Coturnix japonica: one gene and its partners. The protein of the gene in region 2 interacts with the protein of the main gene of each other region in a biochemical or structural test. Links are inferred from orthologs where the notes say so. Each region holds a gene or a part of one and is shown on either strand. Other genes may lie near its edges. The genes, in order: MAGI1, CRHR1, GOPC, DLG1, MAGI2, PDZK1 and MAGI3.

The links.
Region 1: the proteins of CRHR1 (region 2) and MAGI1 form a complex in vitro, tested with the Homo sapiens proteins (2 studies listed by BioGRID and IntAct, with this or other methods). The link is inferred for Coturnix japonica from reciprocal best matches to the Homo sapiens genes CRHR1 and MAGI1.
Region 3: the proteins of CRHR1 (region 2) and GOPC form a complex in vitro, tested with the Homo sapiens proteins (2 studies listed by BioGRID and IntAct, with this or other methods). The link is inferred for Coturnix japonica from reciprocal best matches to the Homo sapiens genes CRHR1 and GOPC.
Region 4: the proteins of CRHR1 (region 2) and DLG1 form a complex in vitro, tested with the Homo sapiens proteins (3 studies listed by BioGRID and IntAct, with this or other methods). The link is inferred for Coturnix japonica from reciprocal best matches to the Homo sapiens genes CRHR1 and DLG1.
Region 5: the proteins of CRHR1 (region 2) and MAGI2 form a complex in vitro, tested with the Homo sapiens proteins (2 studies listed by BioGRID and IntAct, with this or other methods). The link is inferred for Coturnix japonica from reciprocal best matches to the Homo sapiens genes CRHR1 and MAGI2.
Region 6: the proteins of CRHR1 (region 2) and PDZK1 form a complex in vitro, tested with the Homo sapiens proteins (2 studies listed by BioGRID and IntAct, with this or other methods). The link is inferred for Coturnix japonica from reciprocal best matches to the Homo sapiens genes CRHR1 and PDZK1.
Region 7: the proteins of CRHR1 (region 2) and MAGI3 form a complex in vitro, tested with the Homo sapiens proteins (2 studies listed by BioGRID and IntAct, with this or other methods). The link is inferred for Coturnix japonica from reciprocal best matches to the Homo sapiens genes CRHR1 and MAGI3.

The regions. Positions count from the first base shown.
Region 1 is NC_029527.1:11,508,883-11,512,895, forward strand, and holds part of MAGI1 (membrane-associated guanylate kinase, WW and PDZ domain-containing protein 1), read right to left. Parts: intron 2,554-4,013; coding exon 2,459-2,553; intron 1,624-2,458; coding exon 1,531-1,623; intron 1-1,530. UniProt on the Homo sapiens protein: Plays a role in coupling actin fibers to cell junctions in endothelial cells, via its interaction with AMOTL2 and CDH5. May regulate acid-induced ASIC3 currents by modulating its expression at the cell surface.
Region 2 is NC_029542.1:1,738,861-1,743,550, reverse strand, and holds the start of CRHR1 (corticotropin-releasing factor receptor 1), read right to left. Parts: upstream 2,952-4,690; 5' UTR 2,901-2,951; coding exon 2,663-2,900; intron 1-2,662.
Region 3 is NC_029518.1:57,622,865-57,627,325, reverse strand, and holds the start of GOPC (Golgi-associated PDZ and coiled-coil motif-containing protein), read right to left. Parts: upstream 3,190-4,461; 5' UTR 3,175-3,189; coding exon 2,878-3,174; intron 1-2,877.
Region 4 is NC_029524.1:10,713,440-10,717,452, forward strand, and holds part of DLG1 (disks large homolog 1), read right to left. Parts: intron 3,110-4,013; coding exon 3,059-3,109; intron 1,880-3,058; coding exon 1,778-1,879; intron 1,523-1,777; coding exon 1,350-1,522; intron 168-1,349; coding exon 58-167; intron 1-57. UniProt on the Homo sapiens protein: Essential multidomain scaffolding protein required for normal development. Recruits channels, receptors and signaling molecules to discrete plasma membrane domains in polarized cells.
Region 5 is NC_029516.1:10,509,871-10,514,404, reverse strand, and holds the start of MAGI2 (membrane-associated guanylate kinase, WW and PDZ domain-containing protein 2), read right to left. Parts: upstream 3,072-4,534; 5' UTR 2,775-3,071; coding exon 2,474-2,774; intron 1-2,473. UniProt on the Homo sapiens protein: Seems to act as a scaffold molecule at synaptic junctions by assembling neurotransmitter receptors and cell adhesion proteins. Plays a role in nerve growth factor (NGF)-induced recruitment of RAPGEF2 to late endosomes and neurite outgrowth.
Region 6 is NC_029516.1:83,006,621-83,011,084, forward strand, and holds the start of PDZK1 (Na(+)/H(+) exchange regulatory cofactor NHE-RF3), read right to left. Parts: upstream 3,117-4,464; 5' UTR 2,937-3,116; intron 622-2,936; 5' UTR 620-621; coding exon 410-619; intron 103-409; coding exon 1-102. UniProt on the Homo sapiens protein: A scaffold protein that connects plasma membrane proteins and regulatory components, regulating their surface expression in epithelial cells apical domains.
Region 7 is NC_029541.1:3,744,996-3,749,008, reverse strand, and holds part of MAGI3 (membrane-associated guanylate kinase, WW and PDZ domain-containing protein 3), read right to left. Parts: intron 3,720-4,013; coding exon 3,545-3,719; intron 2,742-3,544; coding exon 2,662-2,741; intron 1,215-2,661; coding exon 1,157-1,214; intron 698-1,156; coding exon 603-697; intron 342-602; coding exon 153-341; intron 1-152.

The DNA of each region.
Region 1 (4,013 bases), on a different chromosome or scaffold from region 2:
TTGCACAGCACATTGCACAGGATGGGAAAGGAGTCACGGTTGTGTACTTCACAGTGCCAACACTACGCACCTCTGAACTTCTAATTATTTTTAACGTTTAGAGGGGAAAAGCCTGTGCCACTAAGCCCTCTGGTGACAGCTCCAGGATCAGCAGCCTGTGTCATAGCCAGCAGTGCTGGCATGATTTCAGAAACCTCGGCAGCATTGCCGTGGGGCTCTGCTCAGAAAGCAAATCTTAAGGGAAACTGGAGGCTTGTAAGCCTTTGAATGGGGGAAAAAAATAAAACGTATATTTGAAGATTATTCATGAGGGGGCAGTGCAAGGAGTCCGTCTTCTGCCTTTGAAGGGTAGCACAGGAATGTGGCAATCCTGCACATGGCAGGCAGATACTGTGCTCAGACCCCAGGGTGCAGAAAAACACAGGCAGCTTGTAGCAGGGTTTGGCCCTGTGCTCATTTTTGGTTAAAAAAATAAGCAGAACAAGCAAAGCTTGCCAGCATCTGCCTACTAACACGGCTTGAACTTGCCCTTAGTAACAAGAGACAGTAGCATCACAGGCTATGTCACACCTATGGTGTTCGCAGGGGAGAATGTTCTAAAGGAGTGTATCTGGAAGATCCCAGCAGTGCCACCAGAGGGAAATGGAAACACCCAGGTGCAGGGCAAGGAGACAGGGAAGCAGGGAACAGTGCTACAAACAGGGAGCAAGAGAAGGAGGAACAGCACTAAGAAAGGAAGAGGAAGGAGTGAGAGAGAGAAGGAGTATCAGTGTGGACCAGAACATCATTGAGGCAGGCTAACAAAAATGTTGGTGCAAGATTTTGGTGGATGGCAGTCGGCAGCAGGTGGAGAGCTGAGTGAGGTCCCCTGCACAATGGGTCCTGCATTGCCAGGTATGGAGTTTGGGCAGCCCTTGTACCATCTCAACAGTATATAAAAACAGCACTCAAATGAACTGACCAGTGCTGGATGCCTGGTGGACAGGGCATCATCTCCAGACACGTTTTTCCTTGGTGCCAATCTGGACTACCCTAATATACTCTAATATCCCATGGGAATGTGCTGGAGGGTTTGCATGATTTTGTTTTTGGGAGGGAAGGCTGCCCTGTGTGAACAAAAAGAAATCTATTTTCTATTTTCTATGGATCGTACTGTAAGAGCCATGCCATAAACTCAGCTATGAAGACATAAAAGCCTAATCCTTGCCTAACAATACAGCTCTGTAGCAAAAGATCCCCTATTTGTACCTGCATCCAGCAGGTACAGTGGTTAAATCCCACTGATGTAAATCACATTTTTGTGCCTTTTTGAAGACTTGGGATACTACATGAAGAATAGTCATGGTTCGTTTTTTCATTCAGGTAATCACGTTTGCTCCTCACATTTGGCAACAAATGTGGTTTTGAGGTAATTAGTATCAAAGTCTAGGGGACTGGTGTGTGATACTCCCTTTATTGGTTATGGTGGGAACTTCCTTTGCAGGAAAAAAACTTGTTGGGCTTTTACAACTGGTTTAACAAGGTTGTTACCTTGCACTGGTGCTTCCCGAACTGTCTCTTGGTTGTTTGAAACAAGGTTTGGAGCAGCGGGTGGTGGGAGAGATGGACACTCCTCTGTCCATTCTGGAGAGGGCAGAGAGGGAAATGTTACTCGTTTCACAACAGCACTATGAGTTCCTCCACGTACACACATTGGGAGTGTGGGTTTGAGCAAAGGAGACATGTAAAGCATAGCAAGAACAGAAAGAGACACAGAGAGAAGGAACAAAATGAATGGGATGTTCAAAAAACAGCTCTGGAGGATCCTCTATGTTTAAGTCAATCAATCTGTGTGTGCTCGGACAGTATTCCTCACACTCACACTCGGGACTTGCAACAAAGTGGTCTCAATATTTACATTAAAGCTATTCTACACAGTCCTCACAACATCAGTTCAGCCTGACTGAGAAATAGAAGGGATGATGTTGCGGTAACTGGGGGTGTAGGATGAATGCTGAGACCTAAGTCTTCTCTCCCTTTGACAGGAGCTGCTGTTCAACAAGGGGTGGGAAATCTATGAAAGTCCAGAAAGAAACCTGTAGGTCCCTCACTGCCATTGGGTTGCTTTAAAAAAGAAAATAAAAGGAAAACATTTTTTAAGACATGAATAAAGGAGAAAAAAATGGGGTGGGTGAAGTGTTCTGAAATCATGAAATTAATTCAGATATCTGAGCTACACAAAATGCAAAAGCTCTCTCATGCAGAGGGGTTTCTCTAGCATATGTGTACAATGCTCACTCCTCATTCCCTTCAGTAGACTATGAGTCCCAAACAGCCTTTCCTGTGGGTGTCGTTTTACCTCTAGAACACATTATGGCCACAGAACAAAGGACAAAACCATCAGCACGGGGCTGCCAAAGTGAGGGAGGGCAGGTTCCCCCCTGAACACCCCAATCATCGTGCCCTTGGTGCTGCTAACCTTCTGGTGGCTGCTGCTGCTGTTGTTGTTCAAGCTGCTTCTTCCTCTTTGCTTCAAGAACCGGGTTCTCATATTGTGTCTTCCGGTTGATGTGGCTGGGGATGGAAGAGAGTGATGAATTAGGAAATCTGTCATGTGACAAGCAGGAATCATGGTCAGGTGTGAAACATCTCTGAGGAAGGAAACGAAATACCAAACAATATTGACAGCAGTGTATGTGAAGCAGTGAGCCAAAAAGCCTGCTTAAGAAAACAAGAGGATTCCAGTATCAATATGATATCTGAGGAGAAATGGCAGATGATATCAAATACATTAAAGTAGTGATTCACTCTTTTAAAAAAAATGAAATTACAGCAGGAAAGGTGAGGTCTGTCTGATTGCATTTTAAAAGGCCAGCCTACATCGTCACCGCTTTAACTGGATTCCTAAGGGCACAGTCATTCTCACTGGAGTCAAACAAACAAAAAAACAGAGGAAGTCCAAATACCAGGTAACATCTGCAGCAGAGATGAGCTGCTCGTCACCCATTAATTCAATGGTTTCTGTAATCTCCCTTCTACTGTAAAGTTTCTCCATCACTAAGAAGAGTTCCCACTGTGAGGGGATGTGCAGATTGAATTGCATTCTCTTAAAGCCCATCTTTGTGTCCAAGGCAAGGTCTACCCTTCAGAGCTTGTTATTTTATTGTCTCCCATCCCACAATATCTTTAATAAAAACAAAGCACATTTTAAGTAATTATGCTATAAGCACTGCAGAGTGCTGGTTCTGAGCATTTCTGCTAAAGATCAATACTTAAAGAAACAAGTAAAAGCCAGTTCATGAGTTTTGTAAAGCATTTTCCATTTCAAGATAGCTTCAGAAAGTTAGGAGAAATCAGAATGATTTCAAAAAATGATACAGTTTAAACTTTTCCACCCTACAGTTGTTTCTCAAACAAACTCAGTAAGCAGCAATAATGCAGTGCCTGAATTAGAAGGAAGAGACAGATGCTCAAATTCAAACCATTCTGCCAGTGTATTGATAGCAAGTAAAATAAACTTATGTCTCATCGTTGTTACTTTCCAGTTTAATTCCAACAGGAAGGAGTGCTGCGGAAATAACTGGCATCCATATGTGAAGTGGTGGGAAAAAACACTGGAAACAATTCTTGGCATGGCATTTAATAGCAAAAAAATATTCTCGATGCCTTTGATAAATAAATGTCAAGCCTTAATTATACAGTTTGCTAACCTTGTTTCCCTAGGCACAGATGGTAGGGTCAGAAATGAGCCAAAGCAGACAGAAATTGTATTCCATGTCTATTCTGAGGGCTATCGTAAGCCATCCTAGTAGACAGGAGTATACACATAATTAAAAATTCATTTTATGGGGTCAGTGATGAAACAAAACTCAGCTCTGCAGTTTCCCAAGGGAGGAATTTGTCATTCAGATAAAGGAGCTGTTCTAATTCTGGCGAGAGCTGCTCTAACCCCTTAACTCTAGTCTGAACAACACAGCCCAGCACAAGAACCTCTGTGGGGCGGTGTGGGTACATCAGCTCCTCCACACCTCCTT
Region 2 (4,690 bases):
TGAGAAGCATTCTTTTGACAGTGGGATGCTTCATCCCCATGGGCAAAATGACCTCATCTCTCTGCAAAAGCTTTGTGGCAAGGGGAGAAGCAGCTGCATACAGACCCCAGGGAACTGAAATCAGGAAGGTAATTTGCTGTCTGCAGCAATCTGAAGGCTGGGAGCCCTTGGGACAGGGACCTTTCAACCCTGAACAAGGTTGATCTTCATTGTTTCTCTTTGATAAGTTTAATTAAGCTAAATTTCTTGGCTTCCAGGTGTTTAGAGGTGCAAGCTGACCTGGCTTCTAATGCACCTTCTTGGTCTCAAGTCCAGCTTAACATGGTTTCTACTTGGAGGAGCCTTTGCAGTAGAGCAGCCAATCTGAATGCACGGATACCCACTGAAAGGCACTGTGGATGACTACAATAATAGTTTGGACCATCATGCCTATGCAGCCGGTGAGCATCACCTGCATCTCTCTGCACCACTCTGTTCTAAGCAGAGAACTTTCCAGCTCAGTGCATGCACCTCAGAGCACCAGCAATAGAACCACCCAGCCTTGCATCCTCGTTAAGTGTAAAATCGAGTAAGGAAGGGACTGGCAGTGTGAGAAGGGTGAGAACCTGGGCTGGGATGATTTTTGGAGGAATGATGCTATAGCAGAGCCTGTCTGTGCATCCAGCTGATGCCCAATGTGCTGTGTGCTGGAGGATCCTTGAGCTCGTGTTGCCAGCATGTGCCATTTCCCAAGAGTTATGCAGACATTAACAAATTAAGTCTTGTAGCCTTGCTGCAATTCCCATTAGCATCATCTTAACAAGTCCTCGCTTCAAATAGCCTCAAAACAAAGTTGCCAGTTTTGTGAACATCTCTTCCTCAGAAACGCTGCCTAAATCAGGCAGGGCTTAAACAGACCCCAAGGATGAGGGCTGACGCTGAGCTTCACTTACCAAACAACAGCCATAGGACAATTAGTTTTAGATAAGCCCCCATCCTGAGCTGGGAGCAACTCTCACACGCACCATCCCCATATCCATCAAGTTACCCATGCGTGGTAGGTAGGATGGAGGAGATTTTGCAGATTTAAAGCCTGGCCTGCTGTGCTCCCCATCCCAAAGAGATAGATGCTGTGGTACACTTGCTCCTGAATAGCTTTGCACTGCTAAATCCCAATGCAAGGAAGTCTGATGCCTGCAAAAAGCATTGCCTGCTGCTTGGAAACGCTCCCTGCTCTCTACCCTGGGTTCAGGAAGCGACAGCACAGGTGACAGGGGCCATGAGCTGAGCACAAGGAGGCTCCATGCCTTGGGCCATGGGCCAGCTCCTCCATCACAGGAAGGTCTGGAGGTGCTCCCCACAATTCATGGGTCAGAGCCAGAGACACATTACACCAAGAAAGACAAGCAAGAAGTAAACCAATACCATTTATCACTGCTTAACTTGGCCAAGGACAAACACCTTGTGGAGTAATGAAACCTTCAGGGAGCAAAGCCCATGAGTGATGGCCAGGCTTCTCTGCATAGCCCCCAGGACGTGCAGGCACTTCCATTTCTATCACCAGCCATGCTTTACCCTTGGCTTTCTACCCTCATGCTTCAGGTTGGGGATGCTCCTCGCCACAGTGCCCTGGGCTCTGCTAAACATCCAGGCACTGAATCAGCCAGTGCCCAGCTGGAATTGTTTAAAAAGGACTTTTTAATGTTGTTGTTAATGGGAGCAGTGTGGCAAGGAGCCATCCATCACCCTGATGGAAAGATGCTCTACTGAGCAGGGACTGGGTCAAGCTGGGCAATTGTTTGATGCATGCTCTGTCCTCTGTCAATTACAGAAACAAAATGAGTTCTGAAGCAACCCTGGACCAGGGAGGATCTTCCTCCTGCTGCCTTGAAGCTCCTCTCCCTCTCCCTCTCCCTCACCCTCTCCTCTCCCTCAGCCACTGTTCCTCCCCCCAGATCTATCAACAACCCAGAGCCATCAGCGCTGAGGTGACATCTAAATCATATCTTTAATGTAGGACAAAACACAATGCTTTGTGGGCCTGACCTATATGGGTACAAACCCTTTCAGGGGTGTTGGATATAAGTGAGGTGCCCATGACTTTGTTGGTGTCACCCAGCTTGACTGAGCCAGCCCGAGCCACGTCCCTAAGAGCTGCTTCCATGAACCCAGCAGTGCTCAGTGGCACAACACTGAAAGTACTGGGGACAGAGGACAGCTGAGCCCTGAACACATCACGGATGTGCTGCTTTGGTGACGTGGTGTGTGCAAAAAGCCACAGCTTCTTGTTGTCACCTTTGGGCATAGGGGTGGTGAAGGGGTGCAAACATAGGGGACAGTGGCTCCTGGTTAACAGAGGGCAGTTGATACTGAGGACCACTTTGGCTCCTGATGTCCTTGGGTGCAGTAGGGAAGTGGCAGCATAGAAGCAGGAGCAGAGCTGGTGTCTCTTTGCCCACCTCTCCTCCAGCCCAAAGCACGTTTATTTTTCCTATTTTTAGCTCTCCTGAGCTCTGCATCTTCCACCTGCCTCAACTGACACTGCAAACTGCTGATGCAGTGATCACCACAGGGCTGCAATGCAGCCTCAGCACATTCCCACCCCCAGAAAGGGTCTCACCCTCACCTGGCCATCCTTGCTACCAGGTGCCCTGAGCATGATCTGGGGACACAGGACACTCACCTGTGTGGTTGGTGGTGGGTAGCAGGCTCTCACAGTACTGCTCTTGGATGGAGGCTGCAACGAGGTTATCCCGAAGGAGAAACACCTGCATGAAGAGAGAGAAGATGGGAACAGCTTTACGCACACAACACGCAGCTTCCTCACACCTCTGTTCCCTCCTGGATGTGGCAGCAGGTGGGTCTGATCTGAGCTTCCCCACGCCTTGATGGGTGTCCTCCCCAAATCTGCATGCACCCATTTACAGGACTGCTTTTCCACTCTTGGGGACTCCTATTATCTTCTCTTTTCTCCAGCCATTGTTCTTCTTCCCCATATATTTCCCCAGTGACCCACACTGCAGCCCTGCACAACCCCTGCTGAGCTTCAGTTTCTCCTGTTTAGCATTTTAATCACCACTTTTAGCATCTTTGCATCCCAAGAGCAGGCAGAGGAAACATGATGAGCCTGACACCACGTTCAGATTTGTGATACCTTATTAAAATCACAGCCTTGTAAGCTGTCAGCAGGAAAATGCATCATTAAAGGGATCTGATCCACAGGGTCAGGATGAAGCCTTCTCTAGGAGAAGGGCTTGTCTGCAAGCATTGCCGTTCCCCTTGCATGGGGAAGCACTGACCACAAACAATCCTATTGGCAAAAGCTTCTCCAGAACATCTCCTGGGTGGCTCCGCAGCTGCTTTGGAAGTGAGAACCACCGAGTCCATCTGTCCAGGGAGCTATTTTGGAAAAGCTGCTGCTGAAGGATTGTTTCTGGCAGAGATTGCAATGACCTCTTCAGCCCTGCGTGGCAGGAGCAATGAAGTGATTCCATCTGCGATGAATGGATGGGATGAATGAGGGATGGCAGGGGCCAGTCCCTGTGCTCAGAGGATGGCCACCAGCAGTCACTGAAGCTAAGGAGACTCCTTCCCCACATCCGGGCTGCTCTCCAGTGCTACATCTCCCTTCCTGTGTGCCATTTACCTTCACAATCATTCTGGGTAGGGAAGACACATTCCTCCCCATGTCTTCTAGTGTTGGCACACTCAGAGATCTCCTACCCCCTCCTGAAGCATCAGCAGGATGTGTTCAGACGGGGAGACAAGCTCCGCACCCACTTGCTCTTTTCCAAACAACTATTTACTGCCTTGGGAAGCTGGTTTTGACAGCAAGCGAGATGTCAGGCAGACGTACAAACAGAGCTGAGAATAGCTCCCTTGTTATGACTGCTCCAGATGGCACAATGGATCCAGCAGCATAACCCTGCCCCAAATGCATGCACTGCAAGGGACTGGAGCACTTGTTCCAGTCCTGCAGGATCCCACCATACCCAGTGATGCTCTGCATGAGGCTGGGCTCTGGGATCAACACAGATGAAGCACAACCCCAAACATGAGAGCTCCCTAGATCCAGAGATAGGGTAATTGGGCTGCAGGGGTCCATCCCCTCTGCTTTAGTGCCTGCCAGACCTGTGGCTCACTGCATGGGCAGCTGGGACTCAAGGTTTCTTCCCAGAAGGGGCTGGGATGGTTTGTTCAACTGAGCAGATCTGCAAGTGTTAATTGGATGTGATGGTGCTGATCGCAGCCTGCTCAGCCTGGCAGTGCCCATCCTCCTTCCAGACACAGGGAGAGGTCTTGGCACTGGACTGCAGCATGGGCTGAGCTACAGCTCGAGGGGTGAGGATGGAGCGATGGAGCACAGGTATCAGCTCTGAAAAGGCTTTGAAAATGGGCTAAAATAGCAAAAATAAATAAATAAATAAATAAATAAAATAAAATTAAGAAAATAAAATCTTCCAAATCAAACAAAAGGCTTATTTTCTTTTTTCCACCTGATCCCCTCAGCCACACTGCTAGCAGGGTTAAGGTGGGGACTCCAGGTGCATTTGCACAAGCCAAAAGCATCCCAGCACCCTGCTGGTCAGGCTCCTATGTGTACTTTGTCCCCTGCTGGTTGCTTTAACCCCTCCGCAGGCTTTACAGAAGGAATAGGTCAAAGCTCCGTCCTTGCATCCCCACTGTCAGCCGCCACATGGCACCCAGTGGG
Region 3 (4,461 bases), on a different chromosome or scaffold from region 2:
CTGAACATCTGCAAACTAATCTAATTCTAGGATACAAAATAAGCTGTATCACGTCTCGTTCTAGATTGACCATATTCCATCCAGTACCAACAGTTTTCAATTTGAAAAGTGAAAAATATTCAGAGGCAGATGTGTAAAAAAAGAAATGACACCTCAGTAAAAGATGGACAATTAAACACATTTGAAAACATAAATCAACTTCCTTTTCTTATTAACTCACTAGAGCTATGTTCCCAGCATTAAAGGCACATCTGTCACGGAGCAAAGAAATACCATGGTTGTACATAGGTGCATTTCATATTGTAAGCCAAAGGAGAGAGGGGATTAAAAACAAACCAAAGGACCTTCATGATAAAGTGTATAGTCTGATCTTGGTTGAAAAGTGCTCCTAATCAATAATGCAGTTCTGCAGCACGCTCTGTAAGATGGACTCAAATGATGTGAAAAAACACCATACATATAAAGCCACCTACAATTGGCTTTTTTGGGTACTGAGTTGCTTTCTTTTCTTTTTAAATAGGAATCTTCATGTTACCCACACACACTACACATCCTTTAGCTGATATAGCACAAGTTAGTAAAGAAATAAAAATTCAGCTTAAAGGAACTTGTTCTTCTAAACCTATTAACTCCTTTTAAGTTCAACAGTAACAAAACTACATAGACAAATAACCTCTTAAACGTTTGCTTAAATGCTTTCCTAAACTCTAGCCTGCAGTTGGCTTAACCCAACTGCCAAGACACAGGGTGTGCTCTACCAGACATTCCATTCCAGTTTGTTCATTTAAAATGACCGAATGAGGCTGGCAGTCAAAGTGGCAGAATCAAGCTCAGTTTTCACCAGCACATTAAGCTACTACTTCTACTTACACTGAATTTTTAAAAGATCATCCAGTCCAACTGTTCACCTATTACTAATAGCTCCCACTAAACCGTGTCCCTACATAGATAACATTCATTCTCAACAGAGCAGCTCCATCTTTCAGAGATTAAAAGTGGCAGTTTTCATTTTCAATTTATGACTAATAATCATGATATTTGGATGTTAGGGGGAAGTTCTTCACTAGGAGAGTGGTTAGGCCCTGGAACAGGCTGCCCAGGGAGGTTGTGGATGCCCCGTCCTTGGAGGTGCTCAAGACCAGGTTGGACAGGGCCCTGAAAAATATTGTTCTGTAGCTGAAAATCTGCTCTATTAAGAAATCTTACTGTGCTCTTTGTGCTAGTTTCCATAGAAATAAATAGGAGATTTTACTTTCAGAGCAATCTACGATCTTTCAGGATCTAAGTTTTATAATTTCCTTGCAAAATATTTAAGCATGAAACAACTTCTCAAAGCAATATTCACCAAGCATTATTTCACTCCCTTAAGCTGATATGAAAACTCATCTGTTTTACACGTCTGTACGCAACACCCACCAGCCCTGTGCAATAAATGCTGATTGTCGACTATAAACTCATAAATCTTATTTGACTACACCTATACAAATAAGCGTGCTGTATAGCTTGACAGCATGCATGCAAACTGTGTATTCAGTTGCATTTAGAAGTGTATTCAAGTCTATAGCAACATAAATACAAAGAATACTGTAAACATCACTAGTGAGAACTGTGGTGAAATAAAGACTGCAATGAGCAAAACTTCCTTAGTGAGGTATTTATTCTACTTTGAAATAACCTGAATCTCTGTTAAGCTTTACCAGAATTTTGCATAACAAGGTTTTCATACCAGGAAGAGATCAGATTAAAACCAAAGCCAGCTTACTTTCTTCATTTCCTACTGCAAGGAAATCCTTCAGAAGATTCTTCAATTATTTCATTGCAATAAGTGAAATACAAAGGACTAAAAGAACCAGCACCTCTGACCTGTCCACTAAAGCTCTTGCAATGCACTTGCCTACATGGCTTCTAAGCAGCTCTCCTTATTCCCATATACTTCAGAGCTACTGGAACAAACAATACAAATCTAAAAAGCATGCTCTACAAGAGATACTGAAGAAGCTAACGATTTCTAGCCTAGGGAAAAGATAACTGAATGGAGACGTCTCAGCAGTCCTGCAGCACAAAGACTAGTCTTGTCACAGAAAGACAAGAAGGCATCTAATGTCCACGCTCTCTAAGGACAGGCCAAATGACATCCAAACACACTGCAGAAAGAAGCCTCAAGTTGGACTGCAGCTATGAAAATGAGAAATGTAAAATTGCCCAGATTTTCCTTCCAGAGTGCTCCAACTATTGCATCAACCACAGGACTTCACAGCCCTACCTCTTCAGTAACATCAACACCAGCCAACTCAGCTCCAGCAGACGCTTCTTCCTTCCCACTCTTACTGAAATGCTCATTTAGACACAAAGAAAACTTTACAGCAGTAAGTCTCCACACAGATCGTGAGATCTTGGTTATGAGTTCAAGTGAGTTCAGCAAGGGACTATCTGATCTGCTAGGAGTATGAAGAAGGGACAAGAAGGCCTGTCAGGCCTATCCCCAGTCCATTTTTCTGTTCCATTCACTTACAGACAGGAATAACTGCCGCCTGTAAGCTTGAAGATTCTTGCTGTCTTTGTCCCATTTTGTAAGGATTACCCAACTTCCTAGAGACATAATGCAAATACAAGGCCAGCCAGTGGTATCTGCTGCTCAAGATGCTCCTTTCATCACCAAAGACAACCTTTTATCACCATGAGCAACTCCATAACAACACAACCCGAAGGGATCTGCTGGGCCGCTCCAGGCCAGGCTCCCGGGGGACAGCCGCCGTCCTGCAGCTCGGGGCCTGAGTGCCGAGCAGTCTGCTTGCTGCCCACATCAGGCCTCACCCTGCCGTGGGCGGACAGCCCCAACCCTGCCGGCCCCTCAGCGACCCGCCGCCGAGCCCTCACCTCCAGTTTGTGGTTGATCTGGGACACGGTCTGCGCCTTGTGGCAGAGCTGCGCGAAGCAGGAGCTCAGGCTGGTCATCTTCTGCCGCCCCTCATAGGTGATGTCGGCCTGGTCGGGGTCGATCTCTCCCAACAGCAGGTCCACGTCCACGAAGGCCTTGTCGAACTCCTTCTCCAGCACCTCCAGCCAGCGGAACATGGACACCCCGCCGCCCGGCGCCGAGGCCGCGCCGCCCACCCCTCCGCCGCAGGCCGCGCCGGCCGGCCCGCAGGAGCCAACGCCGCCCGCCGCCGACATCCCGCTGCCCACCGCCCGGCCCGGCCTCGCCTCGCACAGGGCCCGGCTCCCGCTCCCACCCGCCCCGGCCGTCTCCTGCGCCCTCGCGGCGGCCCCGGTTCTCCCGGCGCGGCCACGCAGCCAAGGCGAGCGGAATGAGCCCGAGCGCAGGCGCGATGCCGCTGCCAGGCGGCCTCGGGGGCGGCTGGCGCTGCCTGCCACAACTCCAGGCGGCTCCCAGGCAGCAACGGCTGAGCTCCGACACCGCGATCGAGGCCGCTGCGCTCCCGGCCGGTGGCGGCAGGGGGCGGCGGTGCTGTCATACAGTGCGCTGTCAGGAGGGGCTGGTTTTAGGTTCAAGCTCTGCAAAGGGGCTAAGATGCAAACTTGAAAGTATTGCATAAAAAGGACTATCCTAGACGTCTGTGCACCTACAGATACACTGGTAAATGTCATTATACCAGTCGGAAAGGTATTTGCATTTCCTAACTCATTTTGGATCTGAATCCTGCCTACAACAGAGTCCCAGAAACTCTGTACAGCACAGGGTGCAAAGGACCCTAGAGATTGTACAGCAGAGAGATGACCCCCAACAGCAGCAGACAGCAAGAAGATGGCACTGACATGCCCTGCCTCTGGGCTGCAAGGTGTCCTGAAGCCAGTTTCTCTCATGGCTCTACTTCACAGAGAGACAAATTACAGCCCAGCAGTGTGACCACTCACCTGGAATACAGAGAGAGCTGTTAAAGCAGGAAAGGATTGCACTTCTATCAGTTTGTGTTTTCAGGAGAGAAGGGTAAAAGCAAACTTCACCGCTAGCAGCAGTTTCATGTTTCCTCTGGGATCTGATATCGCAGACTTGACAAGAATCTTACAGATCGCTGTTACAAACCAGTTCTTTTGCCCTTTACTGTTCAGATTGTCTGCACTGTAATTTGAGGCAGGTAGTAGCAAACTAGAAACATAATAGGGGTGCTTTTACTGTGAAGGCCTTCCACAATGGTTACAAAAGCTGCAAATATTTTTATACTGGCCCATAGAAAGAAATCTGGCTCAGTAAAGTGGGATATTCTGATAGTGTCTGAGCAAAGGGTGTAAGTGTCTAAACTTTAGACAGTTGTACAAACGCTTCTAAATGAGCCAAGTTTAGCAGAGCAATTGTTCAAGCTTCGTTCTAATGCTTTTTCTCCACAGCTATTATACCAACAGGGTCTGATGGGCAATCCAAGTATTTTCAGTATCAAAAGATAAACTAACGTTATTGTTTAAAGTTGTTCTGTTAAACAATAAAATTGCTTCAGGATTTTA
Region 4 (4,013 bases), on a different chromosome or scaffold from region 2:
TTCAAATACCGTCACAGTCTCAAACCATTTATTCTGAGGTACTTTGCTTTTACTCACATGATATTTTCCACTGTTTTGGGTTTAATAAAAATGGAGATTGGGTACAGCTGGGCAATCTGCAACCTTTTGATCGCATTACCAGAAACATCAAGAATACAATGTTTACCCTAAAAGCGAGAGAGAAAAAGAAAAAAGGAAATAAACAAAGTTTAAGTCACAGCTATGCACTGTATAATAACCTAGAAGAGAAACCATGTTTCCAACAAAGCCAACGAAATTAAAACACCTGCATCAATGACATCAGAATTGTACTAATCTAGCATGTGGTCCCACAGTGCTCACTCCTCTGCTGGGATCATGCATAACTTGAGATGTTCTTGACTCTTTTTCCATACTCTCTACATCAGAAGCTGCAGCCCAATCAACAACACAGAATACAGAGCAGCTGTACATCAAACTACACCACTATTTTAGGGTTTATTTAAGGATGCAGCCATGTCAGAGTTTAGAAAAGAGCCAGATGCCTTGACAAGCATTTCTGAGGGAATAACTGCCTCTAATGCCAAGCAAATCTATCACCATCAGAACAGTCAGATGGAACTGAATATAATGTTTCTCATTCACTGTCAGGTACCACCCCGGGGGAACGCCAGGTTTGAGACAACAAATTATATTTATTTGGGCCAATTACTTTTTATTTTTTAAGGAAACAAATACAGCTCATTCCTCAGGGGGCTGAAGCAGAATGCAGCAGGGTTGTTCACCCGGTATTATTAACCTGCCACTGCTCCAGAATTTCCTCATCTCAAAGACTCCTCCTTATTCCTGAGCACCTCTTATGTCTAATATAGTAATTTCTACTTCACACATTTTTATTTCTTTTCTTTGAGTAGTGTATGAACAATTTGTGACAACACCATTTTAGAAAGGGGCAGTGTAGGGGAAGTAGAACAGAAGGACTTTGGTAGTCTGAAATGAGAACATCTTTTTCATTAGCAGTAGACCTGGCAGAGGAACAGAGAATTAAGAGCAGTAACTTGTCCATGTTCCCTTTTGTGATATGACAGCCAGTAATTGCTGCATTTGGTCCAACGATTATTCCAGGTGTTGAAGGATCTCAAACAACAGGTGGAAGACTACATTGTCAGCACTTCAGAAGTTGCTCTTCTTTCACAGCTTAATCACGATGTTCCAACTGTTTCTCTTAAATGAATTTGTAATAATGCTCTTTGATTCTAGGTTTGTATGAAGTCCTTTCAAGGTCCCAGTGGCTTCTTGCCATTCTCCTATCCACATCAGCACAGTCAAACAGTCACCTCAGTAAATGTAAACAACTGGCAGTGATTTACCTTTTCTGCTACTTCTCGCACCGATTGCACACTTGTTCCATAAAGATGATTATTGTACTGGCCAGCTTCAATGAATTTGTGCTCCTGAATATCCTTCTCCATTTGCTCTCGAGAAGTGACAAAATGGTAATCACGTCCATCCACCTCATAATCCCGTTTTGGTCTAGTAGTATCTTTGAATATAAACCAGTAACTTTAAAAGAAGAAAACAAGAAACACCCCCCACCCCCCCCCCTTCCCTCCCAACATTCAAAAATAGTCCTCCATCTAAACTGCAAAACTGTAACAAGAGAAGAATATCCATTAATAAACTTCATGAAGGTATCCTAACATTTTACTTCTATATACAGAAATTAGGTCTATGAAGGAAGTTACAACACTAAACCAAAAGCCCACTTATAATTGCTTTAGTGTCTGCTGAAACTTACGTGGAACACATGAGCCAAATTTGTCTGGAAATTCCGAAATCAGATCGTCGTTAATTCTGTCTTTCATGGGTCCCAAAACAATCACAGGTCGAGTATAGTTCACTGTTAAACATAAGGAATAACTTAAGTTACATTTCAATGACATCACCAACCTTTAAAGTTTAGCAAAAATAAGCTTTACTGCATGGTAACAGTAGTAATATCTAACAGAATATGTACTTCTGAAGGGAAAGAGGACAAGCATAAGATTCCAAATTATACTGCATTTAGCATAACGACATTAATATCTAAATACCTAGTTGTAAGCATATCATTTCAGCCATATGAACTTTAGTTCTAGTTTTAAGTTCTGTCATTACTACACAAGTCTAAATTAAATACAGTTTGACTTGTAAAATACATTTTAACTCCTGGAAGTAATTCCAATTCACAAAAGGAGCGTCTTGAATCTTATTAATTGAATTAATTGAATATACCTTTTTCCATCTGTTTTTTTTTTTTTTTTAAACTGTATTCTATATTTAATAGATATCAATCATTCCTTTTTTACAAATCATATTTTTAATCAGATTATGAATATGGTATTTTACCAGATTAAATAAATCAGCCATTAGCACCCTGCGGTGGTAAACAGGAATGCTAAAACTACATCTATAGCATAGAGGGGAAAAAAAGATCAGGAGAAGGTGGAAAGGAAATAATAGGATCCCATTAAAAATCAGTGCAAGGAATTCTGTTCCAAGCATAATCTCCCACTGATTTCCTCTTTACTCAAAAATACTTTTTTTTTTTTTTTTCTGTAATAACCCACATGGTTAACAACTAACAAATCAGCCATACAAAAAGCAGCATGCAGGAATATGAGACTTGGATGGGTTGGAAACATTTTAAACTAGGATTTCTACAACAAACAAATAATCTACTATCATGTATTTCCCTGTGACAAAAAGGAAACAGCAACATTGGGAGCTCTACCGCAATATGAAACAGAAGAAAACTATCATTTCTGAGGTTCACAGAGACCAAACAAATATACCCTATTTTCCTTATGCAGTTTAAACCACACAGTGGTTGAGTCATTAATTTGCGCACCTTTGGATTACATGCTAAATAATTTAGCAGTTGTATTTAATAATTTATGCCTTCATGCTTTATTCATTTTAATAGGGATAACAGTTGAAAATCAATGAGGAAGTTTATTATAGCACTCGGTTCATAAGTGCACATGAACCGTTCTGATACCAGAGTATGGACACGTTATACTAAGTGAGATCTACAAACCTTCTTGTTGATTGACTTGTTCGTAAGACAGGACGTATTCCTCTTGGCCACCTAGAAAGGTAAATGCAAAGAAGCATCCATGTATTTGTTTCTAAAGCAATAAACTTAAATCAAGTCATTTAACAAACAGCAACAATATAGACATTCATCAGCAGAATACGTGTTACAATGATACTGATGGAGGACGGTTTTAAAGAGTGATGAATTATAAAACTCACAAAGATGTGCCAACCAACAGTATACAATTCCTTCAGCTATGTTAGCATGTCAAACTGACGTCAAGCACAAGAAGTATTTTAAAGCGTAACTGAAATGCTCTTGCGTTTCCCAGAATGAAGTGCATGCATGGTGTCATTCACTGCTAGAGGCAATGCCACCTTCTTCATGAGCACTTTCCATACTTTAAATGTTTCTGCAACATTCTTCTATATACAGAGCTGAACGTCATGCACATTTCTCCCAGTAAATTTTTCATGAAGTGGCCTCTATACAAAGACCTTCAACCACTTCAGCTCCACAAAAAATATTATGATTGTATAAATTTCACTATTATTTTACTAGTGAGTTTTTAAACATGAGCTTGAAATGTAGGAATGTTCTGTGTTGTTCTCAGATCCACAAAGCATATCAGCAGTGAATGAAACGAAAATAACGAGGCTTTGACCTTTAACAGCTGCAGGCTTTAAAAGGTTAGTGCAAGCATCTGAAATATACCTCAGTTGCCATCTCTAAAAGAACATCTCTAGTCCAACAAAATGCCTCAGAGTAAGATTTCTCGCATGGGAATCACTAAAAATCAGCACCACGACAGCAGAGAATTTATAATTCTGAACGTACAGGCTAAAATCACATGACAACACTATGAATTCCCAATAAAATGCAGTGCTTCAAGAACTCACTTGTGTAGCTTTTCAAACATTCTTTTCCATTCATAAGCCATACTCATAACAGCCAA
Region 5 (4,534 bases), on a different chromosome or scaffold from region 2:
AAAATTATGGAAGTACCTTTCTTTCCTGTACTTCCTACATTAAATTAATACCTGTAAACTGAATTAGCCAGACTTTGCTTTCATCTACAGGTGAAACTTCAATACCAACTTTCAAGTAAGTCTCCTAAGCATCCCATTATAAATAGTAGTGATCTACCTCCACGTTTATCTCTGTGATTTCATACACAAGCAGCTCTGTAGAAGCAGCTCCAGTCATGTCACATGGTACATTCAAGGTCATGCTATTTTAATTTACAGAGGTACCATTGATAAATTATGCGGAAACAATGATAATGGAGTCATTAACCTTGTTCCAGCACACTAAAAGTGTTTTATAACTAAAACAAGAGTAAAGTTATAAAAACATAAAGATTTGATTGCCCAGCTTTTTCTCTCCTACACACTGCTGCGAATTACTGTTGGGAGTTTTATCCTGGTGAGTAACATGGCTATCAGCTGTCTGTGCTTTTAACCAAGAAGTGCAGTGATTCGACTGAATTATGCTGAAGGAGGAATCAGGTGATTACATGCACAAAATATTGACCTTTTTTAAATACAGGAAGTTGGATCCAGAAGGAATATCCCTTTAGTAAGTAAAGGATGCTGCAGCACAAGAAAGATCATTCAAATCAAGAAGTCTCAGTCCAAAGATCTACACAGAGCTGTCATTTCCAAGCATGCAGTTATTTGGCCGGTATTGGAGGACTCACATCAAAAGCACAGTGTGTTCACATGCTGAAGTATATATATACTACTATAGTATGCATATATATAACCTAGGTGGGATTTAGAATACATTCTCCAAGTCTCATTCAATAAACCTGCAGTAACCCACAGACTAAAAGCCTGACTAATGTCTTTAATTCATGTATAACAGACATGTGTATTAAAGGTACACTTGGGATTCCTTTGACTTGAAATGAAATATATGAAGAATAGTGAGGAGGTGGGACAGAGACTGACTGACGTATTACACCATCGTAACCTGAAGTTGGCATTAGTGCAGATTAGCATCTACAGCATTTCTGCAAAGAAGAAAGAACATAAATAGTTTAACAGACAAGAAACCCTTGTCTTCTTGACACTTCCACTGCTGCTTCTTTTAATCCAGACACTGCAAGAACTCTCACACTAAAATTCATGAAGAAAGACAACTACAGAGCAGGTTTCTGGAGTTCAGGCACCCAGAGATGACACCACACTCCAAGACAGAATTCATTATACTCCTCTCCACTTATCACATGAACTATTATGCCTCTCTGCATCTTCTGATTATCAGCATATGATCTACAACATAGTTCACTACTTACCTGAAAGAACCAATAAGAAAACCACAGTGCATGTCTTTATTAAGGTATGTGACCTTATGTACACAAGTGGTTATATCTTAAAGTGCATTCTGAAGGCCTGAAAGTCAAACTTTCTATGAATTTTGCTGTGTTCGGATAAACTGATAAGTGGCATGCCTTTCAAACATTCCGAAGTGTCACAAATACCACTTCAAACAACACACTCTCCATTAAAATGAGCAAGTGAAACTGCAAAATTATGTCACAATAACACGCCTTTATGTCCTCCGAGCAAAGGCTACTGGCTGTCGCCATGGAGCACGCAAACCTCTAATGAATGAGATCAAACCCCTTCCCACTACAGAAATCCCCAAGTTTGGGACGAGATGGGTGTATGGCTGAGCAGGGCGCTCGGGGGATGCGCACAGAGCCGCACAGAGCCGCACAGAGCCGCCGCAGAGCGCCGGTCCGAGGACACGCGGCTGTTCCCGGCGGAGCTCCAGCACTGCGCTGCGCGGGGTTGTGCCAGCATCAGCCTCACCGCACTCACTCACTCACTCGCAGTTACCCCCCCAACCCGGCTGAGTTTGAAGAGGCACAAACAAACACGTAAACAGCATCTGCTGCACCTCCTGTCTATCCTAGAAACGTAAGGGAGCTATTCAAGCACTCAACAATAAATAAGCTCAAACTGGAGAGGCAGAAGAGTTCTTTCCAGAAAGTTTCTCCCCGCCTCTCCCTCCCACTTTTCGCCGGCTCCCCGGGATCAGGCGACCGTTCTCACGGGGTTTCAGGTGAACCACTCCTCCGTTAGCGGCACGCTCAGGCCGCCGCCCGCTCCCCGTCCCCGGGCAGCGCCCCACAGCACAGTCCCGCTCCGATCCGCTCCGCACCGCGCCCGCTCCTCCGGCCCCACGGCAGCGCCCTCCGCCTCGGATCTGGGCCCGGCTCAGCTCGGCCCCGCGGCGCGGCCCCCCCGTCCCCTCGCAGCGGCATGGCGAAGAGCTGTCACTGACGCACATTTAATTCGCCCGGCTGCGGGCACGGCGGAGCGCCGCTCTCCTCCCCCCGCTGCTGCCGCCGGCGGGTGGGGGAAAGTCAAACTGCCGCAACAAAGTTGCTCCCCCCCAGCCGCCGCCCCCCGTTCCCCCCGGCCCGGCCCGGCCCCCCGGCCGCCGCCTTACCTTGCTTGACGCACTTGAGGCGGATGGGGTCCTTGCAGTGCTTGATCACGGCCAGCACATCCCTGATGGTGAGCCCGGCCACAGGGGTCTCGTTCACCTCCAGCAGCAGCTCCTCCGGCACCAACTTGCTGCCGCCCTCATAGGCCACCTTGCCGGGCTTCACCTCGCCCAGGTACGGGAACTGCCCGTTCTCGGCTCCCCCCTTCAGCTCGAAGCCCAGCTGCCCCTCCGGGTTCCGCACGATCACGATCTCGTGGACTCGGCTCGTCCAGTGGCTTTTCTTCTTCAAGCCCTTGGACATTGCCGTGGGGATGCTCTGCCCGACTCCCGCTCTGCTTGCCGCTCTCTCCTCCCTTTCTCTGCCCCCCTCCCCCGGGGCTTCGCTGGGGCACGCTCGGGGCAGGCTCGGGGCCGCTGCCGGCAAGGGGGGCGGGTACCGCGGCCCCGCGGGGCGACGGAGCGGGGACGGGGAGCTCCTCTCTGCCCGGTCCGAGCGGCTGCCGGCGCTTTAGCTGATATCCATGGCAGCCGCGGCGGCCGGGACCCTGCGTGTGGATGTACTAGTTGTAGAGAAACTGGCAGCGGGGAGGGAGGGTGGGAGGGGAAAAAGGAGGGAACGGCCGCGGGGAGGAGGAGTGTGGCGGCAGCGGCGGAGCGAGGCGGGCGCTGCCTCGGAGCTCCCTCCTCGCCTGACCCGGTAGTGAAGGCCGAGAGAGAGGCTGCCTGGCACGGCCGGCAGAAGGCGGAGAGCGGCCGGGCGAGGGGCGGGCAGGCGGCTCGGAGCTCCCGGCCCGGCGGCACCGCTACCCCGCAGGGCAGCCCCTGCCGACAGGGGGAGCCCGGGGATGAGGTGCCGGGGGCTGCGGTACCCGCCGGTTGCCCCGTAGCGGCTCCCGGCCGGGCCTCTCGCCGGGCTGACGTTCCCGCTGCTCTCCGCCTCCGGCAACACCTCGAGCCCTATGAGCTGCGCTGATACCGGGTCCCATCCGGGGTGACCCCGCTGCCGTCCTGCTCCGCAGGGCTTCCCCGGGCCCGGCCTACCTGGGGGCGAGGGAGAAGCACGGGAGTGGTTCCCCTTTCCCCTCAGCCTGCCCAGGGAGGAGAGTCGCAGGGTGATGCGGTGCCCTGATGGTTCACACCACTGCAGTGGGAAGCTCTGGGTAGCAATTCAGGAAATGGGTAATGCGTATAAGTCAAATTCCTCGAGGAAGAAGGATGGCAATGGAATGTGTGGAGGGGTTGGTTGGGAGTTCTGCTTCTGACAAGGGAGAATCCAGTGACAGGCTTCAAGTTGCGGCAGGAAAAACAAAGCAGCCGTTTACTTAGATCTCAGTGTTAATGTGCACAGAGCCTGCCTCGCTTTCCTGCTCTAAGGTCTCACACTTCAGTTTATAGAGTTGTACTGTGTATGGGTATACTTTTTAATGCTGGTTACTGTGTCCACAGGGGACAGAAACAGTATCACTGCTGGTGGACAGGGAATGTTGTAGAGGATGCAATGACGACAGGGGTAGCAGTCAGTGGTGTGTTTTCTATGAGATCTTCTTGCTGTCACCTACCAGATCTCATTTGGTTCCATCTGCTTGGCTCTAAATCCTACATAACCCGAGCTACCAAAGAGTGGCATTTCCAACCCCAAGTACTTCTCTCTGTCTAAGCACTCAGGAGCAGGTGATAGTGCAGCCCTCTGCTCCTGTGCATTTTCCATTTAATTTGTTCTGTCATATGCCTAACACGTGTGCAAGCAGTGGAGTGTAGCAGTTGGCATGTATTTCTGAGAAGCTTGTCTTGCTGAAAAAATAATAATAATAATAATAATTTCCATCTGAAGGGAAGATTGACAAATAAAGACAGAGCAACCTGCTGACTTTGAGAAGTATAGTTTTTGCTTCTGCAAGATATAGGAGAAAAGAGTATATGAAAGGGTCTGCAGGCTGGGTACAGGATGGGGGAAGGTAAAAGAGATGTCATGTGTTACAGCATGTGATGTAAAGCTGATCAGATATTTTTAAAATTTCAATTAAAGTGACTCTGCGATGAAATTTTTCACAAATTGTATCG
Region 6 (4,464 bases), on a different chromosome or scaffold from region 2:
CTCTTCCAGATTCGCTCCCTCCTTTTCTGCCTTTTTATAAGATGCTTCATCCAGAACAAGAAATACAACAGAATTTCCACTGTTCTTCACAATCTCCACCACCTGTAATGGACAAGGTGAAATCAAAGGTGAATTGCTCAAGCAGAGTGATTGACCTAAAAGCTTTCTCCAGGAAGGATTAAACTCTCTATTGGTTTTGTTGTCACATCCTTCTGCTGATGCACTATGGAGGCACCTCAAAAACATTTCCTACCCATGATGGATAATAAATGATGCAGAGAGGTATCCAGAGCTGTTGACTCAGCTCTCGGACTTTTCCACCATAGAAATGGAAGAGAAAGCTTCCAATAGTGACAGCGGGTCTGGATCATGGGAGGTGATGTAGCCTCCAGACTAAACAGATTTGTACCTTTGCATGTTCCTCCTTGTCTACAAACACACCATTAACCCTGAGGACTCTGTCTCCATCCTTCAAGCCAGCCTTTTCAGCAGGGCTGTTCTTTTCCACATTCCGGATGAGATGTCCTGCTGTGTCTTTCTCCACACGCAGGAAAAATCCATAGCTCTTCTTGCTTTTCTTGGTCACTTTGCACTCTCGTGGCTGGAGAACAGAAGTCATCTCTACGAAACAGGATGGAAAAACTAATTGTGAGTTTAAAAAAAAAAAAAAAAAGCAAGCTGAGACAGTTTGCTTCAGAATCCTTAAGGTTTGGGTTCCTGGGAAATCCAGCTGTGCAAAGGGAGATTAAATGAATCCTTTTTACCTGCTAACTCCAAGATGAATGGACTGGCTCTGTGACAGGCATAGAACGATGAACGATGTACTCTTTAACTATTGCAATACCTTTGAGAGGGTCTCTTGTACAGTAAGTGTGGATGACTTGTTGACATATGGACTGAATAAGCAGATTCTGTAGGTGGGCAGAAGATTGGCTGAGCCATTAGGTTCAGAGGGTTTTTATTGGTGGCACTTAATCCAGCTGTTGGCTGCTTTTTATTGACAATGTTTAGGGTTGGTACTGGTACTGATAGATACTGTTTAACATTTTTATTTATGACATGGTCAGTGCAGCAGAATATATCCTCAACAAACGTGATGGATAATATTAAACAGAGGGGAGCAGTCAATAGGATGGTGGTTAGGGATGCTATTTAGAGAGACCTCAACAGGCTGGAGAGAGGAGCTGTCAGAAATATCGAAACATTTAACAGAGAAAAGTGGAAAAAAATCTATATCTAAACCATGCATAACGACAGCACAGGCTGGCTGGTCAGTTTGTGCACTTACGTGTTGTCCTGCAAAACTTCACATCAGTTGGTGTAGCTTTGCAGTGAAGATCAACTGGATAGTGGGCTATATCTGAATGTATCTAGCAAGTCAATGAAGGGATTGTTCCCTGCTGTTTGGCACTTGTAAGGCTATGCGTGACTGCTGTTTTGAGCTCTCTGTGTCACTGACATACTGAAACTAATCCACTGGGGTGGGTTAGGTTTTGGAGCGCAACTTGTTTGAAGAGGGTTTGAGAGAGCTGAGTTTGTTCAGTCTTGGGAAAAGAAAGTAAATGAAAGTTCTTATTTGCATTTTCAAGTGCCTAATCGGATGGTGTAGAAAACACAGATCCTTATTATTCTTGGATGTTAATACTGATGAGAGGCAACAGATACTGGTCGCAGTGAGGGGAAGTCTAATTAGAGAGAGGTAAGGTCAGCTTTTTAATCTCTGGTGCTTTCAGATACTTGAACAAGAACCTAGAGTGGCTGTGGAATCTCCATCCTTGGAGGTGCTTACCTGGATGAGACCCTGATAAACTTGGTCTAAGTTGGCTTGGTTTAGCATGAGCTATTGGACCAGATGAGCTCCAGAAGTTCCTTCCAAGCTAAAATATTCTATATTTTTATGATACAATGAAATTGTCTCGTGTAGCTCATTATCAGTAAGAGAGACATTATGTTCAGAAAGTAAGCAGTAGTTATGATCAAGGAGCAATTCCAAAGTTCGCTATCTTGTTGTCTTAGGAACTCCTGCCAAAGATCCACTATGACATAAGAAATAAGATAAATGATGGCAACTTTCTCCATCCAGGTAATTACCACACTTGATGTGTGTCTTACTGGATTGATTGTTTTTTTTTCTCGCTCCTGTTAGAAGTTTGTGAAAAGCCCAAAGATCTGTTGCAGAGGTTGGCCATTAGTCTCAGCCTAATAAATACTAAAAAATTTCATCTGCCTGCATGAACTCTTTACAGTTCTTTCTTTTTTCTGTTTCTGTATATCACTCACGTAACTTATGTGTGTGAAAACTGACCTTTTCTTTTACTTGTTTTTAGAAGTAGCCAGTGGTCAAATCTCTCCACGTTCTTGATAGCAGCCTACTGCTGAAGTACATCTGGCTACTCATGAAAATATAGAGTATTTGTTATGGAAGCTAAAACTGTGTTGTTAAGGTTAGTTAGTCAGCTTATAGAAAAGTATGGGTGAGGAGTGGGGAGTTGGCAGGGATGTCACTGAAGCTGGAGAAGATGGAACATTTCAGCATGTATGGATAGGCAGGCTGTGGGTTCTGAGTTTCTTATTCCCGTTGGTGAGGTACTTAGTGGTTTTTGGAGTCTAAGTATAGTGGCATCAAGAATAACTTCACATAGGGATGTCCTGCACTATTGTTTAGACATTGTACTGATCTCAACTAGAACTCGGAGCAGCTTTTCTCGACAAACACTGGGAAATTTGGTTAACTCCTGATGTTTACAGAAAACCAGCAGTAAACAAAGCTGAAGGAACAGTAAGCTTTTACAGGACAGATTATCTCTTCATATGTAGAAATGGAGGGAAGACCATAGTGGGCTGCAAACAACTTTTCACTTCATGAAAACTTTATATGCAAGATTATCAGACTCCTAAAACACAGTTTTATATAGCAAAAAAAAGGAATAACTTACCTGTATATCTGTGTGAAGCAGCCTTTGCAGGAATCCTCTCTTGCTGTCCCTCCTGTAGCTGTACCTATAGGTAGGACTGGACTTTGATTGGGCAAAGGTTGATTTAAAAGATGATTTATTTAACCAAGTTTCACTGAATATGCTCGATGCCTTGATAAGCTGCCTTGTCCTTGCCTGCAGAAGTGCAGATCACATGTATTCCTCATCAGCTTTGAATTCTGTTCTACTGATAATTATACTCAAAAAAACTCAGTCAAGAAGGTGATCTTTGCTCTGTGCAAGAACCTTCTTCAGCTATAAGTAGTGTCCTAAAGGAATGTGTTTGGATTGTCATGTGCTGACGATGACTAGTTAGTGTTTGATTGCAGATCGAGAGGTTCCCAATTCAAACCCGTGCACTCCATGTAGGGTGCCAAACATAGGGTTGTGATGGGTTAATCTTGGCCAGCAGTTAGATGCCCACCTATCTATTCTCTCATTCCCCTCCTCAGCTGGATGGCTTGTGGAAGTGTGAGGAATCTGAAATAATGACAGTAATTGGGAGAGATGCAATGTGCCAAGTGGTTGTGATTGAGGGGTAGACCTGATGATTGAGAACATCCCACAGGCCACCTGCAGATGTGAAACATGCATTGCAATCAATGAAAGGACACAAAGTCCCTACAGTGCATGTAGGGAAGTTGTTGAGAAAGACAGTTTCTTTTTGGAAAGGGATGACCCACTTGCAGAATTGTCTTTGCTCAAAGATCAAAGTGTAATTGGTGGTCAGTGTGGAAGGATGAGCAAATTTGTTATGTACCTCAAAGAGATCTATACGTTGCACAATTTGACTTGTACAATACAGGAAGTAATACAGCAGAAACCACCTGAACTAAAAGGGAGTGAGTTTCACATGGAAGTATGTGAATACAATGACCCACCTCAAGCTGGTGTTGGTGCCCAGTGATCCAACATTCTGCTCCCCCTGTCCTGAGTGATGGCCTTGATGAATGGGACAAAAGTCCAGCGGGTATTTAGATGCATTAGATAACATGGAACCTAAGAATGGCGCAAATGATATGGAATAAGGGGATAAGGTTATACTGAGTCTGCCTGGGACAGAGCTAACTTTCCTCGTGGCAGCCTGTGCAGTGCTGTTGTTTGCATTTGTGTCTGAAACAAATCACACCAGGGATTTGGCTGTCATTGAACAGTGTGCGAACTACCAAGACTGTCTCTCCATCCCTCTTCTCCTGCCCCCAGGTGAGTAGAGTGGATGTGAACAAGATGTTGGGGAAGAACAGACCAGAGACAGCTGACCCAGACAGACTGAAGGGATATTCTGTGCCATTTGGCATCATGCTCAGCATTAAGTCATGCAGAAAGGAGGAGGAATGGGGTGACACCTTTGATTGTGGTGTTTGTCTTCCAAAACAACTGTTAAGCTTTTTGCCTCCCAGTAAGTAGCCTGCTGATGTAAGGTAGTGAATGAATTAATCCCTCTTTTCATGTTCTATACATGTACAATATTTTCTGTACACTAAACTGT
Region 7 (4,013 bases), on a different chromosome or scaffold from region 2:
GCCCTGTTTCATAATACACATCACAGTGATCAAGATTGTGTACGCAATACAATATTCCCAGGAGAAAACCGTCCTCTCAATCTCGCACATCAGCAGCTGCACACTCTAAAAAGCATCAGAAGAAATGCAAGCTTAGAGAAATAATGATTTACCTGGTGCAATTCTCCCATCTTGCGCAGCAGGTCCATCTTTTAACACGTTCTTCACCTGGAGAAACTCATCAGGCCTGTCCCCTCCGATGATGGTAAAACCAAAACCCATCGTGCTTTTTTTCAGTGAGGTCCGTATAAGTGCTCCTATAAGCTGGGAGGGATCTCTAGTGAAGAGAGACTTCTCTGCCCCTGTGCATGATAAGATGCAATATAATCAACCATCAGCAATGCTGCTTTATGGCGGCCACTACATCTCCAAAGTACGGTGACCACAAGCACACGTAAAACAGACAATCAGAGAATTAAGGAAGATATCTTAAAGCCTGGCTACCAAACTTGCATGTTTTCCAAACTGTATTACAGATTAAAACAGGGGACAAATGAAATCTCCCACCTCTAATTTCTGGTTTTACTCTCTTACCCTTGACGTCAATATATATTTAGTGATACCTGATTTTGAAGGGCCACCATCAGTCTGTCCCAGTTGTTTTTTCCTTTTGGCTTCCAACACTGGGTTTTCAAACTGAGTTTTCTGGTTAATGTGACTGTAGACAAAAGGTAGATTAAGGTATCAGAGGAAACCATCCTGCCTGCACCATCCCAAGAGACAACCCACAAATACTATTGCTTGAATGAATTCCAAACTATCAGAATCAACATGGAATGTCTTTTGTTTTTATTTCCTTTCAACTTGATTTACTTTAAAAAACAACGTGATTTCACTTGTAACCAATTGGGAGAGTATACCTTCATCCCACTCCACAAACTTCCAAGCTCATTCCTATTTATTAATTACTATCATTGCTACTTGCTTTCCTTCCCTAGAAGAACTTCACTCCAATATGTCAGCACAACCATATTATGGTCCTTCAGTGATTTAGAAATGTGCACAGCAGCCTCTAGAACTTATCTTTACTCAGTGCAATCTATATACACTGCTATGCAACTGCTTCCCTGCATTCTGCTCAGCTTGTGCCTATTCCAAATTAATACTCAGCACTTACTCAACGTAATATGTTCCATACTGTGGATCTTCTATTTTTTCCCATCCATAAGGAAGTTCTGCAATCAGAAAGAACAAAATTCTCCACTACTTTGGAAAACTACCTGCAAATATCAGCACTCTTACAAAAAAAGGACAGATGAAAAACATGAATTAAACAGAAATCACTTTTTTTTTCCCCTTTTTTTGTTTGAGACTTTTCTTCTGATGAGAAAACATTGGCTTATTCCAAGGAACCTGAAGCCCTGCACCTCTCACTCTGTTCCACTGGATCAGACTTCTATTTAACAAAACCACATCAATTTAAGTCTGTAGTAAACTTAGACCCAAATTAACCTATTTGGGAAGGAAGAACATATGAAAGGGGATAGAAAACACAAAGTCTGGTGAGATGGTAAGCAGCAGCAGATCATTAGTGACTAGAGGTGGCAGGCAGTTAAAACAGAGGTCCAATTACTTTAGCTTTACTGTTCTAGTTACCATGACCAGGGAAATTTAAATAGCTGAATAATTGACACAGCCAGGTAACCAGACATTCCGAGGGATAAAATTTCTGTGTAATCTTGTTTGAGGCTGCCCTAAGTTTGAAGGTACCAGCAATTTTCCTTGCATATGACAGCATGTTACCACTTATTAGTATCAGCATCACTCCACAGGATTTGACAAAAGACCCAGGGGGGCTATTCATTTAAACGTTGTTCATTTGGATATCCTGCATCTCTCCGTTTCAAGTGCTCTTTTTATCCTGTGGTGTGCTGCACGTATGTTTAACAAGCAGCGGTATGAGTCCATTGCTCCAGCTGGCTTCATTATGAATACATGATTGTTAGCCTGTGCAATTTAAGGAGATGACAGGCTGTTCTGAATCTGCCTCAGCTTTTGTAATGTGCGTTTGCTGAAGACTGAGCTACTTGGTGCTCCTTTTTTGGCTGACTAAATCACAGACTACATAGGAAATGGATACAGGTGTCGTCTGTGGGTCAGTCGTGAGCCTGACTTACAAGTCTTGAAACAGCAGCATGAAGAGCTGTTACCCCTACTAACACATTCAAATGTTATACCATAAAGCTTGTGATACACATTACTAGCAATAGGTATTACACTGCATCTTCATTCTGCATATATTCTAGTATTTATGGACCTTTTATCCCTGCCATGTTCCACCCACATAAAAATTTCCAGCACGATTGCTGCTGATATATCCAGCTTTCTCCTTAGCAATGATACTCACTGGAACAACATATATCATTCTCTTCTCAGGAATGCAGATACATCCATGATTCAGTCAGATTCCACGGCTCCAGGAAAAATCCATTATGGTCTTTCCCAGTCTTATGTGGACTCTCACTACCACTGAACTATGGATACTCAGCACTACACTCTATTTGCTCCAGTGGCACGTGTATCAGCAGTAAGTTTCTGTCACAGCAGTAATGGATCTCAACTAGCCCTGATAAACTCAACCATTGATCAGCCACAGTAACAAACAAGCTCTAAATATCTCACCTCCATCTTCACAATCTTCAGGAGCTTTGGCTTTCTTACAGAGCCGTGGATCGAGCCATGTTGTTGTCTTTGTGTTGTGGCTGCAGAGCAAAACAGCCCATTAAAAGAAGAGGACTTCCTCAGACTCAAGAAATTTCACTTTACCTTAAATATTTACTACCTCGGTCAAACCATAGTCATTAGATAACCTAATCCCTGCTTATGCCTCAGTCAAATGCTAAATAGAAAAGGTGACAACGATACTCAGAGGTGCCAGCATTGGAGACTCCTGAGGACAGATGTGAAACATGAGAGGAATGCTCTCCTGTGCCCCAGAAAGCTCACGTGGAAACACCATCTATTTCTACCTGAAAGCAGCAAACGCTTTTAGTTGTATAATTAACATTCAATTGGGTTTTTATTTCTTTTCACCTCAGAATTCATAATTGAGGCTATTTCACATGTGCACACATGAACTGCTTTTCTATCCTGAGCTTTAATCTATGCTGCTCATCTTTTCAAGCAGGCATTCCCAGCCAAGGAACTCATGCTGAGAAGAAAGAACACGCAAGTTCTCAGATGTCAGAGAGATTTGTCATTGTAAAAGTTCATATGATGCTATACCTTCCCTACCAACATCCAGCCAGCTTTGCATTTTATGAGATACATAACTCACATTGCAAACTGACTATGCACGTGGAGCCATAACACTTCCCTGCACAACAGCAATCAAATACGTAGCATAAATGATTAACAGTAAGGAACAAATGACAGGAAATATATAAAATTAAATATATAGGAATATAAAGTAAAAGAACAGGACAGGTCTAAGAGCATTAGGCAGCTACCCAGACTGTGGCTCTTCAGCACGTATCTTTCCTGCTGGCAGTGTTGGGCTACTCACTCGATGAAGTAGATCATGCCAGTGTCAGTGTAGGCCATCTCCCAGTTCTTGGGCAGAGGTTCCAGGGTTTCATCCCTTGACATGTAATTTCTGAAGTCCATGGAGCTGCTTGTCTGGTTGTAACTGGGAACAGGTTTCATCCAGTCAGAAGAATCTGAGTGTTTTTCTTTGTTTTCTGCAGTTGTTCAGGGAAAGCATTACTATTTGTCAGATGCTTATGCTGTTTCTCACTAAGCACCACCCTCTTAATCTGGCTATGAGAGAATGTCAAACACGTCCCTGGATGTGATGAGCATTTTTCCACTTTTTTTTTTTTTTTCCAGCTATGGACTTTGAAAAGCTGACATGAAAAAACTGAACTCTGTTCTGCCCCTGCCAAAGAGAATTAACCTCATATTATTTGTCTGAGCCTACGCTACAAAATCAGCACGGGCAGGAATGCGAGCTGACTAATTTGTTTCCCTCCTCA